4 linked regions of the Arabidopsis thaliana genome follow. The protein of the gene in region 4 interacts with the protein of the main gene of each other region in a pairwise test. Each region holds a gene or a part of one and is shown on either strand. Other genes may lie near its edges. The genes, in order: BBX9, BBX10, BBX13 and BBX28.

What was found.
Region 1: the proteins of BBX28 (region 4) and BBX9 interact in a two-hybrid assay, tested with the Arabidopsis thaliana proteins (one large-scale study listed by BioGRID).
Region 2: the proteins of BBX28 (region 4) and BBX10 interact in a two-hybrid assay, tested with the Arabidopsis thaliana proteins (one large-scale study listed by BioGRID).
Region 3: the proteins of BBX28 (region 4) and BBX13 interact in a two-hybrid assay, tested with the Arabidopsis thaliana proteins (one large-scale study listed by BioGRID).

Annotation. Positions count from the first base shown.
Region 1 is NC_003075.7:8,709,188-8,713,655, reverse strand, and holds BBX9 (B-box type zinc finger protein with CCT domain-containing protein), read left to right. Parts: upstream 1-2,129; 5' UTR 2,130-2,171; exon of another isoform or gene 2,172-2,176; intron 2,177-2,479; 5' UTR 2,480-2,549; coding exon 2,550-3,038; intron 3,039-3,124; coding exon 3,125-3,507; intron 3,508-3,593; coding exon 3,594-3,714; 3' UTR 3,715-3,889; downstream 3,890-4,468. Other genes in the region: BBX30 (B-box type zinc finger family protein), read right to left, coding at 4,422-4,468.
Region 2 is NC_003074.8:7,704,389-7,709,055, forward strand, and holds BBX10 (B-box type zinc finger protein with CCT domain-containing protein), read left to right. Parts: upstream 1-1,868; 5' UTR 1,869-2,047; intron 2,048-2,261; 5' UTR 2,262-2,347; coding exon 2,348-2,845; intron 2,846-2,924; coding exon 2,925-3,152; intron 3,153-3,238; coding exon 3,239-3,489; intron 3,490-3,575; coding exon 3,576-3,705; 3' UTR 3,706-3,721; exon of another isoform or gene 3,722-3,802; intron 3,803-3,834; 3' UTR 3,835-3,958; downstream 3,959-4,667. Other genes in the region: CYCP2;1 (cyclin p2;1), read right to left, coding at 40-425.
Region 3 is NC_003070.9:9,774,708-9,779,810, forward strand, and holds BBX13 (B-box type zinc finger protein with CCT domain-containing protein), read right to left. Parts: upstream 3,337-5,103; 5' UTR 2,951-3,336; coding exon 2,165-2,950; intron 1,974-2,164; coding exon 1,806-1,973; intron 1,522-1,805; coding exon 1,277-1,521; intron 1,164-1,276; coding exon 1,061-1,163; 3' UTR 815-1,060; downstream 1-814. Other genes in the region: AT1G28040 (RING/U-box superfamily protein), read right to left, coding at 1-203; AT1G28060 (Pre-mRNA-splicing factor 3), read left to right, coding at 4,460-4,936, 5,050-5,103.
Region 4 is NC_003075.7:13,673,544-13,677,684, forward strand, and holds BBX28 (B-box type zinc finger family protein), read left to right. Parts: upstream 1-1,993; 5' UTR 1,994-2,309; coding exon 2,310-2,894; intron 2,895-2,986; coding exon 2,987-3,073; 3' UTR 3,074-3,512; downstream 3,513-4,141.

The sequences.
Region 1 (4,468 bases), 5.0 Mb from region 4:
TAAAATAAATGTAAGTTGTTTGTTGGGTCACGAAAGCTGGCCCATTTAGTATAATTGGGCCGAGAACCTAAAATAGATATGGTAGCCGCCGACCGAAGTAAACCCTAATTGTCTGCTGTGTCTGTGTATTTATAAGGTTTCGTCTAATGCAAATCATAGGAACTCTCTTTCTTTTCATGTCTGAATGATATGTTAGGTGATTTTAGGGTTAGGTCTGTGACTATTTTCGTTTGTGTATATATGTTGAAATTGGTGATATTTAAGGTTTTTGTGAAAGAGATTTGTGATGTCTTAGTTTTATGGGATGTGGAAGGGGTTGAATATGGTGATGATACAAGAGTATTGTGGACTAGAGTTTCAGATCTGGGATTCTTCTCCCAGAAGTTGAAGATTAACCCTTGGCTGTCTGAGTATTAATTCCCCTTTCACCCAAAATCTTATCTTTTGATTGGTTTGAAGACAAATTTCTCTGTTATTGTTTTTTTTTGTTGGTTGATGTTTTTCCACTTATAAGCTTATGATGATAGAAAACAATTATCTTAGCGGATTTCAGTGAGGTTTTTCAATCAATGATCTGAATTTGTTACACACACTGAGGCTTTTTTTTTTTTTTAATGTTTGGCTTTTGTTTAGTTGGATTATTGTTAATAGGTTTGATTGATGTTTGTATGTACTTGTTTTGGGTTATAAAGCTGATGATGATAAAAACAATTATCTTAGCGGATTTCAGTGAGGTTTTTGAATCAATGAACTGAATTTGTTACACACACTGAAGCTTATTTGTTCTTTCAATGTTTTTTGTTTTGTTTTGTTGGATTACTGTTATGGGTTTGATGATGATGATGCAATGATGAGATGAAAGCACGAAGAGTGTGAGAAGAGCAGTGGGTTTACCGTGAGCTCTCCTTTAAAACGACTTCTCCTTCCACTGAGCATTTTTTATCAAAAATTTTGCCCTATTGAAGAAAGAGTTTTAGTGTTTTTTGTTTTTGTATTGGCGTCCATTACCAATTCTGAAGGATAAAAACAGTTCCTTCAGGTATAATGGCTTGTGACGCTATATTGGTTGTGGTATATCCTGATCTTTTTGCTTTTTTCCATGCCTTTTGATCCTGGAAATGCCTCGCACATTATATCAATTGGTTTTGTTTTTCCTCTTTTTTAATACCGGAAGAGATTAGCTAGTTATTCTTTGATTTTCAGTTGGTGGAAGGGCTTTATGAAAACAATTGGTGTGTTTAAATGTTATGTTTTCTTCACTACTTTTGCAAAATAAGTGGTTAACAAAACAATTGAAAACTATGAGCTGATTTTTGGACGAATAATGGATTTAGCGTTCCTATAGAATTGATTAACAAAACAATTGACTTATCAGGAAACAATTGTTTGGTCGAATGAGCTGCTTTTTGGACATCTAATGAAATCTTTTGGCAAACAAACAATGACAACCAGACTGGTCATGCCATGAGCGACCTTTTCAGCTAATGCCAGCAGTTACTGTCTGTTGAATTGTTTACAAGTACATTTAGCCTTTTTTGGCATGGAATGCATTGGGAGATGTTTCAAAAATAGTACATTTAGCCTTTTTACTGAGGCTGGTAAAAAATCGTAAACGAATATCAATCGTTGTCACAAAGTTTTCTCTCTTAAAACATGATCGCTCACTAGAATTTCAATCATTTAAGTGCTTCTAACATCTCATATTTTAAGTTGTGAAAACACACTTAGTAAAATTAGTGAGAAATAGATACAATAACTATCCATAACCACAGGTTAATGAAACCGGACTAGTATGCTGCAAACTCCTAGATCCATTAAACCAACACTCGGAATAAATTGCTTCGAACTAGTCTTATTACTCGGATGTTTTGAATAACAAGAAAAACGTGTTCAAAATTAATGACATTTACACGTTTTTTTATTAACAATTCTCGAAATTCTTGCGAGCCACAGAAAGTACCTAAAGAATCAAACAAAAACTCCGAATTGTATGGTCAACCACATTATGACATCAACAAAATCTAAGGAACAATAAAACCACACGTGACAAAAGATACCCCGCGTGGCAAACCCGCTTAACAAGGTGGACCCCACACAGGATAAAAACAGAGCAAAACCTTTTCTTCTCTGTTCTTTCTCATCTCCTTCTCACTGGACTCTCACACACCCTTGTAAAGCTTCTAATCTCTGGAACCCTGAAACATAAACAATTTTACACGATTATTGTTATACTCTTGTTTAGAAAAAACTCTGTAATTAACTGGTTATGAGTTTCTAGACATTGTGATTTTAGTACTGATTCGGTCTCGAGAATCCACATTTTCTTAGTTTGTGAGTGTTTCTCTAACATTCAAACACAACCATGTATTAGTCACAGTCACAGTCACACATTAAAAAGATACATGAACCTATAATGAATCGTAATTTTGTTTGATCTCTGAATGTTCTGTTTTTGTCTCACGATCCTTCTATGCTATAGGATTTTAGGTGTGTGTAGCGATTGGGATTGAGAAATCGTTATTTCTTTGGAGTTTTGTCTTCGAAGAAGTATGGAGGCTCGATGTGACTTTTGTGGAACCGAAAAAGCATTAATCTACTGCAAATCTGATTCGGCTAAACTTTGTTTAAACTGTGACGTTAATGTACACTCAGCGAATCCTCTGTCTCAAAGACACACGCGATCTCTACTCTGCGAGAAATGTTCCTTACAACCCACGGCAGTACACTGTATGAACGAAAATGTTTCTCTTTGCCAAGGATGTCAGTGGACCGCTAGTAACTGCACTGGTTTAGGACACAGACTTCAGAGTCTGAACCCTTACTCTGATTGTCCTTCTCCATCAGATTTCGGCAAGATCTGGTCTTCAACTTTAGAACCTTCTGTCACAAGTTTGGTCTCTCCATTTTCTGATACCCTGCTCCAGGAATTAGACGATTGGAATGGTTCATCAACTTCCGTGGTTACACAAACTCAGAACCTTAAAGACTATTCTTCTTTCTTTCCTATGGAATCTAATCTTCCAAAAGTGATAGAAGAGGTGACGTGTTGTTTAAGTAATATATCAAAATGTTTCATTTATGATAAAGAAGAATGTTTTTCATTTATATTCCGTTCTATATGCAGGAATGTTCTGGTTTGGATCTATGCGAAGGGATAAACTTAGATGATGCGCCGTTGAATTTCAACGCAAGCAATGATATAATCGGATGTTCATCACTTGACAATACCAAATGTTACGAGTACGAGGATTCTTTTAAGGAAGAGAATAACATTGGCCTTCCTTCATTACTGCTTCCTACTTTATCCGGGAACGTTGTACCGAACATGTCACTTTCGATGTCTAACCTCACAGGAGAAAGCAATGCGACTGATTACCAAGATTGCGGAATTTCACCAGGGTTTCTCATAGGAGATTCGCCATGGGAATCGAATGTTGAAGTTAGTTTTAATCCAAAATTAAGGGATGAGGCTAAAAAGAGATACAAACAAAAGAAATCAAAGCGCATGTAAGTTTTTGAGACACATAATCAGAGTCATTATCATGCTTTTAAAACATAATCTCATTGATATTTGTGGTACCAATTTCTTCTAGGTTTGGGAAGCAAATAAGATATGCATCACGCAAAGCCAGAGCTGATACGAGAAAACGGGTCAAAGGGAGATTTGTAAAATCTGGAGAAACTTTTGAGTATGATCCGTCACTGGTGATGTGAACTAGTGAATCTTCACTGCGGAACTAAAGAATAATCTGACTCCATCCACGGGATTAACAGTTTCTTGTCGGAGAAGTAACAAAAAAAAAACATAAAATTCTCTTCTTGAGAAAGTATACAAGATCAAACTACAAAGACTTAAAATCATCGCAAAGGTGATTCCAAAATGGAGATTAAAAAAAAAAAAAACTGAAAGTTGCTCTTTTTACTAGAGAATTTCCACTGTTTTTTGATGCAACCACAAAACCTACCGGTCATACAGGCATTAATTAGGCATACAGCTACGAGACGATCAGACAAAATCAGAAACCAAAAAACAAAACAAGAGTCGTTGACTCTTTCCTACTTATAGCTCCTTAATCTCAATTACATGTTAATCATAGAAAAATATATCTTCTTTGTGTTTTGGACCACTCTCCACCTTCCATTTCACTTGATTGTAATTTGTAACGTTGTATTGTTTTCCTAGTTAAGAAAAATAAAGCCAAAGAATAAAGGCAGATTATGTTTGCCATAGGAAGATTTGTTCTTGATTTCTTATAGCTTACTATTGGGACCGCATTATTTTACTATTAAATCAATATGTTTTCTAGGTGTTCATATATTACTTTTAAGCTTTAGAATGAAAATATACATTCTTAGAACATTTCCAGAGAAAAAACCCTACCAATATTTAATCTTAATTACGCGAAAAACAAAACATAAAATCAGAGAAACACAAAGGGAATTTTGTGATCACTACTATGTTCTTCAA
Region 2 (4,667 bases), on a different chromosome or scaffold from region 4:
TTTCAAGATATTATAGAAATTCAAGAAAGGCTTACTTACACGTCATCTAGTATCTTGGCAGCAATCATGACACAAGTGACGAGGAGTCTATGAACATTCAAGGAGACAACCAAAGAACCAGGATGCTTATGAGCCAACCGGTCTATGTACACATACCCAACAACGAAACATGCCGGGCTACATTTTGTGTACTTATATATCCTCTCAAGGTATTTAGCTATACTTATGCTCGGCGCTCTCACGCCGTGAAACGCCTCCAAGCTCTTCCCAAATCCCTTAGTTTGCTTAGCTAACCACTCGTTTCGTGCCACGAGCTTCTCCATCACATGGGAGATTATAGTCAGCACTCTTGGAGTGGCTGCTTCCGTTGCCGATTCTGGTCCCACGACCGGGTCCAGTTCATCGTCTCCGGCTGCGGTTAACATGGGTTCTCTTCAGTTTTCGTTAATGGGCCATGTTGTATAGTTCGTTTTGGGTATATATGGCTTGTAGATTGGGTGGTTGAGATACGATGAGCTTAAGATGTTACGTGGGGATGTTATCATGTTTCGTCTGACTTTGGACGAGTGTGAGATGGTTTTGACACGTGTCACTTCGCGAGAAGATAGGATTCCGATGATTTTTGTATACCTTGAGCAATGAAATTAGTTATCATTTATCAAACAAATAACTTTATTTTCCACTTAATTTTCTGCATATTACTAGCATTATTACCCAAAATTAAGTTTCCGGGTCTTGGTCCATAATTTTCTCGTCCGGTACAATTTCCTTTGAAAAGTCTCACAGTACACAAATTTTACTACATACGCTGGAATATATTCTTGATGTAAATACTATATATAGATGTAAATTAATGTTAGATACATTATTTGAAAAAAGGCATACGCGTTGCCGGTCACTGCATACATGTTTAATGTTTTGATAAGGAGAGTTTATGCATAGGTCATATAATGTTATGTGGCCATTTTTTCTTATCTCTGTTTTGAAGTTCATTTATCTTTGTTTACGTTAATAGTTATCATGTTTCTTACTTTTATCTATCAAATCTATATATCATTTTCTTTGCATAAGGCATTTTTTTCTTAAATTGTATCCTTTTAAATAGTTAGGTTGGTGTGCAACTTCTTAAAAAGAAAAGTTAGTTCTTTGAGGATTATATCAAAAGATAATTACTAGTTCAAATTTTACAATTTTCTTTTAGAAACAAATTTTTTACGAAATAGCTGACAACATTTTTTAGGTTAGGAATCCCAAAATTTGAGGGTAGCCTGATCAAAAAGTTAGAAATGCTAACAACTTATTTCTATTCAAGAGTCAACTGCATAGCCATTATACATGCATGTACATTAAACTGATGATAATATAGAAGTTGATGTGGCCTAGTCTATTTCAAATGAAATGACTCAATGATCTCACATCTATATATCAAATGTTAGAGATACCAAAAGACATCACACAATTCAGAAAAACTGATAACTCTTTCAAACTAGTTGAGAACATATTTTCGAAAAAGAAACGTACGTGGCTCAATATTCAAGTAAATTACGACATGTATTACACGTATAAACGATATCAATAAATTTATTGGGAACCACAAGTAAGTAACACTAGTAATAGCTAGTATCGACCCGAAACAACGAGTTTTAAGGTTTGCCACAGAGCACAAAATCTATCGAGCAAGAAAAAAATCAGATAGTACTATCTTGACAAGCGATATAATCACAATTACCTATGCATGTCTTCATAATAAATCACGTCAAGGCTCATAATTACGCCACGTGGATTTTAACCGCGTGGACACACGTTTTCACAAGGTATAAAAGAAGCAACCCTACCTCTCTTTCTTCTACGTGATTCGCACACCACTGTAAAAGTGTAAAAAAACTCTTTTTTTGTTCTTCTTCACATTTCATTCGATTCAAAAAATATTCTGTTCTTAGATTGTAATCTGTTTTTTTTTCTGTAATCTCCCATTATTGGGTTTTGAATTTCTCGTCATTTTACGAAAAAGGTTGTGAATCGGCCTAATCGATCTCGGTCGTCATAAGTGAGTGCTTCTTCCTCCGTATTAGCTCTCAAAAACATTTGTGTTTCTATTTGAAACGTAACAATTTACGATATTTTTCCTCACAAATTAATGTAATTGAAACACAAAACCCTATCATGCATGATGCACCCATATATTACCATCTTTAATTCCAAAATCATCATTTTCCTTCCATGATTTGTATCTGAAATGGTCATGCATCTATGTTGCGCAGGATCTTACGTGTGTTTTACTAATCGTGAAACAATATCAACGTCAGATTCTTCTCTATACACTTTTCTTTAAGTTTACCCAATCATCATGTCTCCAAGTATGGAGCCAAAGTGTGACCATTGTGCAACCTCGCAAGCATTGATTTACTGCAAATCCGATTTGGCTAAACTATGCCTAAACTGCGACGTCCATGTACACTCTGCGAATCCTCTGTCTCACAGGCACATACGCTCTTTGATCTGCGAGAAATGCTTCTCACAGCCAGCCGCAATCCGCTGTCTCGACGAGAAGGTTTCATACTGCCAAGGATGTCATTGGCACGAAAGCAACTGTTCGGAGTTAGGACACAGAGTTCAGAGCTTGAATCCTTTCTCTGGTTGTCCTTCTCCTACAGATTTTAACAGAATGTGGTCTTCAATTCTTGAACCTCCTGTCTCCGGCTTGCTTAGTCCGTTCGTTGGTTCTTTTCCCTTGAATGATCTCAACAATACCATGTTCGATACCGCTTATTCCATGGTACCACACAACATCAGTTACACTCAGAATTTCAGTGATAATTTGTCTTTCTTTTCCACGGAATCTAAGGTAATAATTAAAGGAGTGAAAAGTGTTCCTTATAAGTTCTTGATGAAAAATACAGTTCTTATTTGTGTGTATGTTCCAGGGATATCCTGATATGGTTCTTAAACTTGAAGAAGGAGAAGAAGATCTATGTGAAGGGCTTAACTTGGATGATGCACCATTAAACTTTGACGTAGGAGATGATATTATCGGATGTTCATCAGAAGTACACATAGAACCGGACCATACGGTACCAAATTGCCTATTGATTGACAAGACTAACACATCCAGCTTTACCGGCTCCAACTTTACTGTAGACAAGGCTCTAGAGGTCTCTTTCGCTTTTTTGTTGTCGTTGTTGTAGTTTCTAGTACCTCAAGAAAGTTTCTAATATAAATTGTGTTATTCTGTTTCCAGGCATCGCCACCAGGTCAGCAAATGAACATCAACACTGGACTTCAGCTTCCTCTATCACCTGTCTTGTTCGGACAAATCCATCCATCTCTTAACATCACTGGTGAAAACAATGCAGCTGATTACCAGGATTGTGGGATGTCTCCAGGGTTTATAATGAGTGAAGCGCCATGGGAAACGAATTTTGAAGTTAGTTGTCCACAAGCAAGAAACGAGGCTAAGTTGAGATACAAGGAGAAGAAATTAAAGCGCTCGTAAGTTTATTACTAATCATTACAAAACAGAGTTTATACCAACTTGGATCAGGTTTAATGGTGTTTTTCTTTTTTTTTAATTGTAGTTTTGGGAAACAGATTCGATATGCATCTCGCAAAGCAAGAGCTGACACGAGGAAAAGAGTGAAAGGAAGATTTGTGAAAGCTGGTGACAGTTATGATTATGATCCATCATCACCGACGACGAACAATTGAAATTTACAAAAATAATGTACAGTCTTCTTTCCCAAACAGACTTAAACCATGCTTCATGATGATGATAAAGGTTGGTAAAAACAGTTTCTTGTCGGGAAAGTAATGTATTGTTTGTCTTATTGTGTATAGTTTTTGTGAATCGAAGAAATCAACATGTTGAGGCATGGGAACGTTGGAGAACTAAATAAAGTTGGTGGAAAGCCAAAATGGTGAAAATTATTTAGTAACTTCTTTTATTTACAGAATCTCTTTTGTTTTTGATTATTTTTAAGTTGGGTTTTTCCTTTTATAGGACAAATCCTAATTTATCTCTTTATAAATAAATTTCCTAGCTGTTTTTTTTTTTATTAATAATAAAGTAGCAGTGATTACAATCTGCTCCATTACAGAGCTCGCGTTTAACGTGTTTCAAGAGAACAATTCTCTACTTATTAAGCATTGCATTATGAAGATGTTTCACTTGCAAAAAGTTTAGTTATTACCCCACTGGTTTAGAACCAATTGGTTCTTAGTTTTGAATCTTAACCTTATTTTAAATTAAAATGTTGTTTTTACTAAGTTAAGAAAAGTTAGGAGGAAGTTTAACTAATTTCTATTTCAATGGTTAAGAACTATTGGATTCTTAAAAAACAACAATTCAAAAATGTCTATCCACTCAAAATACAACACATATACTCTTCTTAGTTTTAAGAAAACATCTTAATTAAGATGTTTATCTTAGCTAAGGTTTGTTGTTTCATTAAATTTAATCACTTTTATTGCTAAGAATACAAGGCTGGAGTTGCTTTTATGTACCTTTAAATTAAGGAAAATGACAAGTCCAAAGAAGTAGTGAGAAAGATTTACTACACTAAAATAAATATCTAACAAAATACCAAACAGAGAGTTTGGTGAGTTAATTTTTTTTTACAGCAGTTTTATGGAACTTTTTGTTTGTTGGTTACAAACATTGCTTAGTAGAA
Region 3 (5,103 bases), on a different chromosome or scaffold from region 4:
GGGATGGACATCAGAGACCAAACCGGTATCACGACCTCATTCGGACAGGTCAAGAACGTGTAGTAGAAACTGAAGCCATAAGAGAAAGGAGATCCTGAAGTATTGAAGGTTAAAAGCCTTTTAACCATACAGTTTTCAGGGTCGCTGATAGAAATCTGCTGCTTTTGGTAGTTGATTTCATCGACAAGAAATGTTCCGGACATAGGAAGCTCTAGGACTGTCTTATCGAGGTTGTTGCAGTGGAGATTGAATCCTGGATTGCCGCAGAAAGGAAAACGAATGGGGATTCCAAGTGGTTCACATTTATTAAGATATGAATCCGAGTAGGATGAAGGACATTTTTGAGGGTTCAAGGCGTTTCGGAGAGGTAAGATAAAGATGGAGAGGAGAAATACAGAGAAGAGAATTCTTGATTGAGGGAATTGTTAAACGAAAAATTTAATAGAGAATTGGTCTATTCTTATAGTCACTAAGAGGAAAGTCAGAGAATTAGTTGTCTTTTAAGAAGAATTGTCACCTGCATCGGATCCCACGTCTGCAGAGCTATATGACATTCAAGCATAAACATTATACAACATCCACTACATGTATTATACACTAGAATAAACTGATTGTGGAATTTCGCCTGTGAGTAACTCTTTAAGTAGGGAGATTTATACCTTCTGAATTGGCCAACACAGCCAGAACCACCAAAGAAACAGCAACGAAGAACCACAGCCGCAGATCCGCTCGCCATCTGCGAACTGGACTTGGAAAACTTTGATTAACAGCCATAAGTCAGGGTTTTTAAAACAAAGAGTATCAAGGCGTATTAGCTTGTGAGACTTCAAAATGCTTGGATAGACATGTATATACTGTCAACAGAATATGGTTTTCTAGAAGGTTACAATCTTTTTTAAACTAGATAAGATTCCAAGGTACATAAAAGGGCCAGATAAGGCAATAAAACAGAAGGGCGGCCAGATGAAACGAGACCGGTCTGTACATTTATGAGGCAGTGGAAGTAAAAAAAGTAACTAAGTTTGTAGCTAAAAGGAAGCCTATGTGAAGAGACTTAAGGTTAAGGGTAAGGAGCTTCACTAGCTTTCACAAATCTGCCTCTGACACGCAACCTAGTGTCAGCTCTTGCCTTCCTCGATTCATACCTTATGGTCTTATCATATCTGTTGGCACCCGAGATCCAAGACAAAGGGAGAAACGAAATATGGTATCAGATTCTTTAAGGGAGATGGGCAATAAAAAATTATTAAAGGGGAAAGAAAAAAGCAGCATTTACCTCCGTGTCTTCCTCTTTTCCTTGTAACGCTGCATTGCATCTCCTCTGTTCTGAGCCAGCCGCTCCAGATCAGCCTTAGTTGCAACTAGTCTTGTGGTCTTACAACTAGTTCCAGCAATATGCTCTGTGAAATGCAAGTCACTGGAGGAGTTCGAACCTTTCTCAGAGCCAAAGGTAATTGGACGATTGTTGCTCTCAGATTTTGTTGGTTGTACCTGGCCTGAAGTTGATCGCTTGTAGTCATCCTGCAAAAGAATCCTAATCAGCATCACAGTTAAGTTGCATAGCAGTCTAGCAAATATATATCATAAGCCAAAATGTTAGAATTGGTGGCTTGGTGATGAGGTAAAACAAAGAAAAGCAAACCAGCTTGTAACTTTTTTCTGACTAGGTTTCATGTTCTGAATTCTATCATTCACTAAAAGAAGCAACTGTCTACAACAATTTTTGAGGATGAACGGGAGATGACAACGTATTGTGTTTTAAACACTACTCTACTTAAATGACTAAGGTTAATGAGAACTATTACCTTTTTAATCTCTTTGACACCTTTCACATTAGTGGAACAAGTTTCATTCATATGGTCAACAAAATTGTTGATTGTGAATGAAGAAGCAGCACCTTTCCCTACATATGCAGCTTCCACTCGACTCGTATCCTCAGGTCCCCGTGACTGTCCCAAGTTAAAATCCCATATCTGTATACAAGTTCACAACACAGGTTAAGAAACCTTTCATTTTTTTATCTTCTTGAGAAACCATAAAACCACACAGAGTGACTATATTTGACCTTACACAAAAACATTTCACCACTTAATCTCACTTGCTCATTAACAGAAAAAACTAAACTGTTCTTAGCCAAAAAAATCAAAAGAGAGATAAGCAAAACCTGAGAACTCTGGCCACCACTAGGATTAGTAGTAGTAGCATTCCACTGCTGGTTAACTCCTCCTCCTCCGCCACCATTGATCTCCTCAACATCTCTTGACCATTTCAATCTCTCTGACATCTCCGGAACCATAAGCCCCTCTCCTGCTTCTCCATCTCCATCTCCATCACAAGCACCCTCACGGTCACAATCACGGTCACGATCACCATCATCGCCATCACCACCGACAACACCACTCTTAAGCAACTCCTCAAGCTGCTTACACAATACCTGCTTATACCTCCCACAACTAGATCCACAAGATCCACGCTTCTTAAACGTCGTATCGCTGGGAACAATCAATTCATTAGATCCCAAAACCCAAGAATCCAACTGCATCCCGAAATTATCCATCATCATCGCCATCATCGGAACTTGATTCTCTTCATCTTTCCTCCCTTGCTCCAAATCAAGTCCCCATAAAGCAGCAAGCTCCAACGCCGATGGACAACCGGAAAAACCTTCCACGGCGGATCGAACATGAGCATCGGAAACTGAACAACTTCCGTGAACATCCCAATCACACTCCTGACACAAAATCAGATTATCGGTGAAACACCGAACAGAGACTGGCTCGTTACCGCAATTATCGCAGATCTGAGATCGCACGTGCTTCCTCGACAACAGATTCGCCGTGTGAACTTGCTGATCACAAGGCAAACACAGCTTCGCCGTATCGGCTCTACAAAACAAAACCGCCGTACGCTCGCCGCAGAAATCGCACGGTACTCTCTCCGAACTACTCATAACTGACTCTCTCTCAAAATCCCTAAAATTCGAAATCAAAATCAGAATTTATTTTCAGAGACTAAGGACGGTGAGAAGAATGATGACAAATCCATTTCTCACGTTTTTCATTTTGAACTCTTTTTTTTTTTGGGGGGCTTTGTCAAAATTATCTGCAAATCTTTTGGAATGAAGAAGACAACGAAGCTAATTATTGTAAACAGTTTGGGGTTAGGGATTTGTTTTTCTGTGTTGCGATGTATGGAACTTGTGTATGATGGATTGTTCAGATTGAGATATGTTGAGATCTGACGGTGTAAAAGCGTGCTGAGAGAGTCGCCATTGTTCAGACGGCGAAGCTTACGTTGACTGTGACAGAGAATCTAAGAGAAAATATCTAATCTGCTTTTTCACCTAAATATCTATTTTAACGTATAAAGGGAAAGTTAGTTCAAAGCACATGATTTTTATGGGATTAATTCTTTCCGTATATAGCAATAACTTTTTGATCAGTGTAATAACGGCTGGAATCGTCTTTTTCTGGAACTAGTATTTACGAACATTGCAGCGTAATGTATAGCATATATTTATGTGCATAATAAACTGCTACACACGAGTTCTTGACAAAAGATGTGATAAAATTAAAATCGTAAAGATATTTTAGGATTCATGTTAGATATTTTCTTTTTGTCCATAGACTTCAATAAGTTGTTTTTTTTTGTTTTGAAAAAAAGTATAACTTATTTGTAAAGTGCTATCATTCTGAGGTATAAATATCTTGAAAAAGTTCCTGGGGAGTGGTAACAATCGGAACGATTCTTGACTAACGCATTAAATTTCACGTGTTAGAGAGTTTGTGATTCAGACTATACATAATACAGTATATGAGCGGGTTTTTTCTTTTTTGAGTCAAAGCGGAATATATGCGTTATATACTTCTATATTTGAATTCTTGAGTTTTGATCGAATGTTTAATTTGTGGTCAACTTGTGGAAATCTCTTGGCAAAGAAATCTTATTTATCCAAAAAATAGTTGGTATGAAAACTCTTGGCAAAGAAATCTTGTTTATTCCAAAAATAGTTGGTATGAAGAGTTTGGATTTCTGCTTGTAAGAAAACTGCGACCTGACATCAAATATTTTTCTTTTTAAAGATAAATAGCTTGAATTTTCATATATCTCTATAGAAGATGAATCGTCGATTTTTTTTTTTTTAAGTAAAAGATGATATAAAAGCCCATTAGACTCAAAATTGAAGAACTATCTCAAGAAGGAACTCAAAAATGGGCTTCAGCCCATAAGGGAAGCTTGTAGTCCGGTGATTGGATTATATATCTTCCGGATCCGGTATCGTTTCGCTCCCTTTAGGATTTTTCCGGAAGGAACAAAAATCTGATTCAGAACTTGGTTTCGCTGGTCGTTTTGGTTCTAATCTGAATCGCTGGTTTATTCCGGTTGTGAATTTTCGTATATTTATAGGACCGGCGAATCAGAAGCAAATTGTTGTTAGGAATAAACCCTAAATTCTGCCATGGATAAGGAGAGATATTCCAGGAGCCACCGTGACGATCGTGATCGAGATTCGAGTCCCGACCATTCTCCACAACGTGAAGGAGGACGCCGCCGTGACCGCGATGTTGATTCGAAGCGTCGTGATTCAGATCACTACCGTTCATCGAGGCGCGGCGATAGGGAAGATGAGAGAGATAGGACCAAGGATAGAAGAGGGAGATCTGTAGAGCGAGGCGAGAGAGAAGGGAGTAGAGATAGGGAAAAGCATCACCATGAGAGGTCTCACGAAGGTAGTAAAGAGAAGGAATCGAGGAGCAAGAGGAAAGATAGAGAGGAAGAGAATGGGGCTAGGGATGGGAAGAAGAAATCTAGGTTTGCTGATGGGAATGGTGAGAGGAGGAGCAGGTTTGAGGATGTGGCTATTGAAGTTGAGAACAAAGATGCTCAAGTCTCTGAGGGTTCTGGGGCTACGAATCCAACCAGTGGCGTTACGATGGTGAGTTCTTTATACCTTTTCGTTAATCTTCTTTGTTTGCTACTTGCGATTTGTTCATGATTACCTCTAGTCTTCTTCGCTAGCTAATGCTTGCATTTTCTTTTTTTGTGCAGGGAGCCTCTACATATAGTTCTATTCCATCGGAAGCTTCTGCTGCCCCTAGTCAA
Region 4 (4,141 bases):
ACGCAAAGAAGGAAAGGAAAGAAAAAACGTGTACAAAAAGAGGCCCATGTTAATCATCATCCCTTAGGCCTTCTTAGCTTATGCATTGTCTCTTTGCTAGTCTTTTTCTCACAATCGTGTCGATATATTTTAAGGGTTTTTAACGTGTGGTTTTTCTGTAGGGAGCATTAGTAGAATTATTGATTGGTTTTATTCAAATATAGAATATATATATATATATATATATACATAAAACATTTATTGATGGATCATTGAATGTTCATTTGTTCGTTACAACATTTTCTTATTCAAATTTTATCGATCCTTGAATCAAAGACTTTGACATAAGCGAAACCATTGGTTACTTCTCTAAATTAAAATGAAATGGTAGTCTTCTAATAAATATATATGTTTAACAAACAAATTGGCATAATTTGATCGTTCTAACCAAAGATAGGATTTCGAATCCAAATTGGATGGGATGACTAGACTATTAGATATTTAGATCGATCACCAATCAAACAAAATAGGCGTGCTTTTATATTCATTAAGCTGGTTTAAAACAACAAACAATCCAGCATTTTTAATTTTAGTGGTTGAATAGTTAAGTTAATAAAATCAAAGATAAACAGAAAACAAACAGCTAGTTTTTCAAATTTTGGCGTTTAATTTTATTTGGAATATTTTTTTTTAATAAAACACACAAAAAAAAACTCTTTTGACAAAAATTGGCATCAATACTGCATATCGCATAGCCCCATACATACATGATACATGCCACATCTCTTAAAAGATGAGAACAAGAAGGGATGTATTTGAACTATTCTGACAATATTATATATACACACACATTTTGAATATGAATCTCTCTTCTTCAAAGTTCTGACTTGTTCCAAAATTCTTATCCACACAATGGAGGAAAAAAAGAAAAAGAAAAGCCACAATAATGAGCCATAACCACAACCACACCCACTCACCAGAGACTTTGTGTATCCGTGGCTCTCATCATGACATCTCATCTTCCTTTGATTCTTCACACCACCGTCGATCGCCACGTAGGATTTCCCCAAATCAAAGCATTCCACATAAGCACAATCTTTTATGTGGCCAGAGTTTAATCAACATTTGTTTTTCTTACAATGGGTTCGTGAGAGCCACAAATAAATCAACTATACGATTAAATAACCATATCTAACAAAAAAAAAAAACATTAAACAATTATAGTCCAAGTAAACAAATACTCGCCTACTATGTACCATATTAGAAAGTTTTTTATTCTCCCCCAATACCGATATATTATTTTGTAATTTAAAAATTCATTGTTATCTTATCCTCGCAAGAAACACAGATGTTTTGGATCAGTTTGGGAAGCGAAGAAGTATGGGAGAGAAGTAAAAAACAAAACAAGTGGTTTATAAAAAAAGAGGGAAAGATAATTGAACAAAGATACGTGGGGCCCATTAAACTTGTGTTATGGTCCAGACAAATCCCAGGTGGGCTCACGTGGCTACGAAGCCCATTGAGAACCTGATTCGTCCACGTAGGACGGGACAGAATCTCGCTCTCCTCCTTCCCCGGCTGAGATCTCGCCACGTCATCGACTAAATAAATCTCTCCCAAAAAAATATCTCGAAACTGAACCATGAGTTTGTCGCCACGTACAAACGGGGTTTGGCTTTGGCCCATACGCATTAATAACTGGTTTTCAAAAATCATTTAAACTTATTTATCCTAATAACGCATAATTAATGTGTTTTACTTAAACTGTAATGATTCTAAGTAGAAAATGTGAAACAGTATTTTTTATCCACAAGAAAAAATAAAACACAAGGATAAAGCTAAAAACAATAAAGAAAACATTACTGACTCAAGTAATTTAAATAATTGCAGCAGATATAGATCTGATAATTATCCAAACAAAAATCTCAAATAAAGGTTAAAGTGATAAACCCATCTCTAAAGCAAAAAGATTTTTAAGTTGAACCAATCCTTAATTGATTAAATACTATACGTTATTACAAAGTTAAATTGAAATGAAATGGATACTAACCACAGAATAAAAAAAAAAGGAAGGTGCTATATAAAATAGAGTCATTGTGAAACCAAAGAAGAGAAATAGATTTTTTAGCAGAAGGCAGAAAAAGACGAAACTAGCCTCCAAAGAATTGTTGAATCACAGAAAACTCGCCACGAAAAATATCCCAAATCCTGCAACTTGCACTTTCCTATTCTTCTTCTTCTTTCCTTATCTCTCCAAGGAACCAAAGCATAGACACAAAACGAACAACCACAGAAACTTGAAAGAGAGAAAGAGTTTGATTTTGATTAAAATGGGGAAGAAGTGTGATTTATGTAACGGTGTTGCAAGAATGTATTGCGAGTCAGATCAAGCTAGTTTATGTTGGGATTGCGACGGTAAAGTTCACGGCGCTAATTTCTTGGTAGCTAAACACACGCGTTGTCTTCTCTGTAGCGCTTGTCAGTCTCTTACGCCGTGGAAAGCTACTGGGCTTCGTCTTGGCCCAACTTTCTCCGTCTGCGAGTCATGCGTCGCTCTTAAAAACGCCGGCGGTGGCCGTGGAAACAGAGTTTTATCGGAGAATCGTGGTCAGGAGGAGGTTAATAGTTTCGAGTCCGAAGAAGATCGGATTAGAGAAGATCACGGTGACGGTGACGACGCGGAGTCTTACGATGATGATGAGGAAGAAGATGAGGATGAAGAGTACAGCGACGATGAGGATGAGGATGATGATGAGGATGGTGATGATGAGGAAGCGGAGAATCAAGTTGTGCCGTGGTCTGCGGCGGCGCAAGTTCCTCCGGTGATGAGTTCTTCATCTTCTGACGGAGGAAGCGGAGGTTCAGTGACGAAGAGGACGAGGGCTAGAGAGAATTCAGATCTTCTCTGCTCCGATGTATGGATCTATCTTTTTTAACTATTTTGTCGGGAAATTAACAGAGAAAGTTTTGGTTTTAATTATCGGTTTCGTTGTTTTGGAAAATGCAGGATGAGATCGGAAGCTCTTCAGCTCAAGGGTCAAACTATTCTCGGCCGTTGAAGCGATCGGCGTTTAAATCAACGGTTGTTGTTTAACTCACACTCTACCGTATCGTCAGAATGAACGGCGCCGATACATCGTCTTCTCCGATCTTTGCGATCTCCAAAACAAGAAGAGATCTCAGCCGTTGATTCCTTTTTTTTTCTTGTTTAAGTAAATCACCACCGTTCAGTTTTCTGACAATACTTTGTTTTAGAGATGAGGTAGTTTCTTTCTTTCTTTGAATGTCGTACAAAATCAAATCTTAACTTTTTATTTTTCTTATCAATATCATTATTATGTTGATTTTTTTTTTGTTAATCTACGTAAGTAAATTAATTTCGATTCGTAAGTTTATGACTTATGTTATATGATTATATTCAATGGATCAAAAGGAATGGGGGAGAGATTGGTGGCAGATGGACACAATGGTATACACATACCGTAAAAATAAAGTATATGATTTGCTTTGTAATTTCGACCACTCAATTGTGGGGACTACAAAGAAAATGAAATTAAATATGATAAAATTTCGAGAGATTTTTATAATGTAATGGGTCCTTGAGGTTACATTCATTCGCCAAGAACATTGAACCTGTCATATCTGCCGCGTCTGTGAACTGTGTTTGATGGTCCATAAAATATTGACACCCCCATGTTTTACCTTATAACGTTATCTCACCATGTTCTTCATTCACATGACAGGATCACATCTTTGTTCACCATAGTTCTTTCGATTTTAATTTAAAATTTTACTCCTATTGGTTTCGTGTGTGTCATTTGGGTCCTATATACATACATCAAAACCGTTTATCCCTTCTTTTTTTTAACCACTTGATTCTCTGGCTTACCGAGGAACTGGTGTTGTGGGGGTTGGACAGTTGGGTCTCTCTCGAATTAATTTGAATAAAACATGTGGTTCTCATTTAAACTACATATTCTTTTAACGCAAATTCTTATATTGTTTCAATTTATAAGTTTTTATACGATTCCAACAAAACAAAACAAAACATTCGAAATTTAAACTCATTATAAAATCGATATAAGAAAGTAGAAAATATTTGTTAGGAAATTCGCTGGGTTTCACTATCAACGCATGACTAGCGTCAAATACTTCAACCATT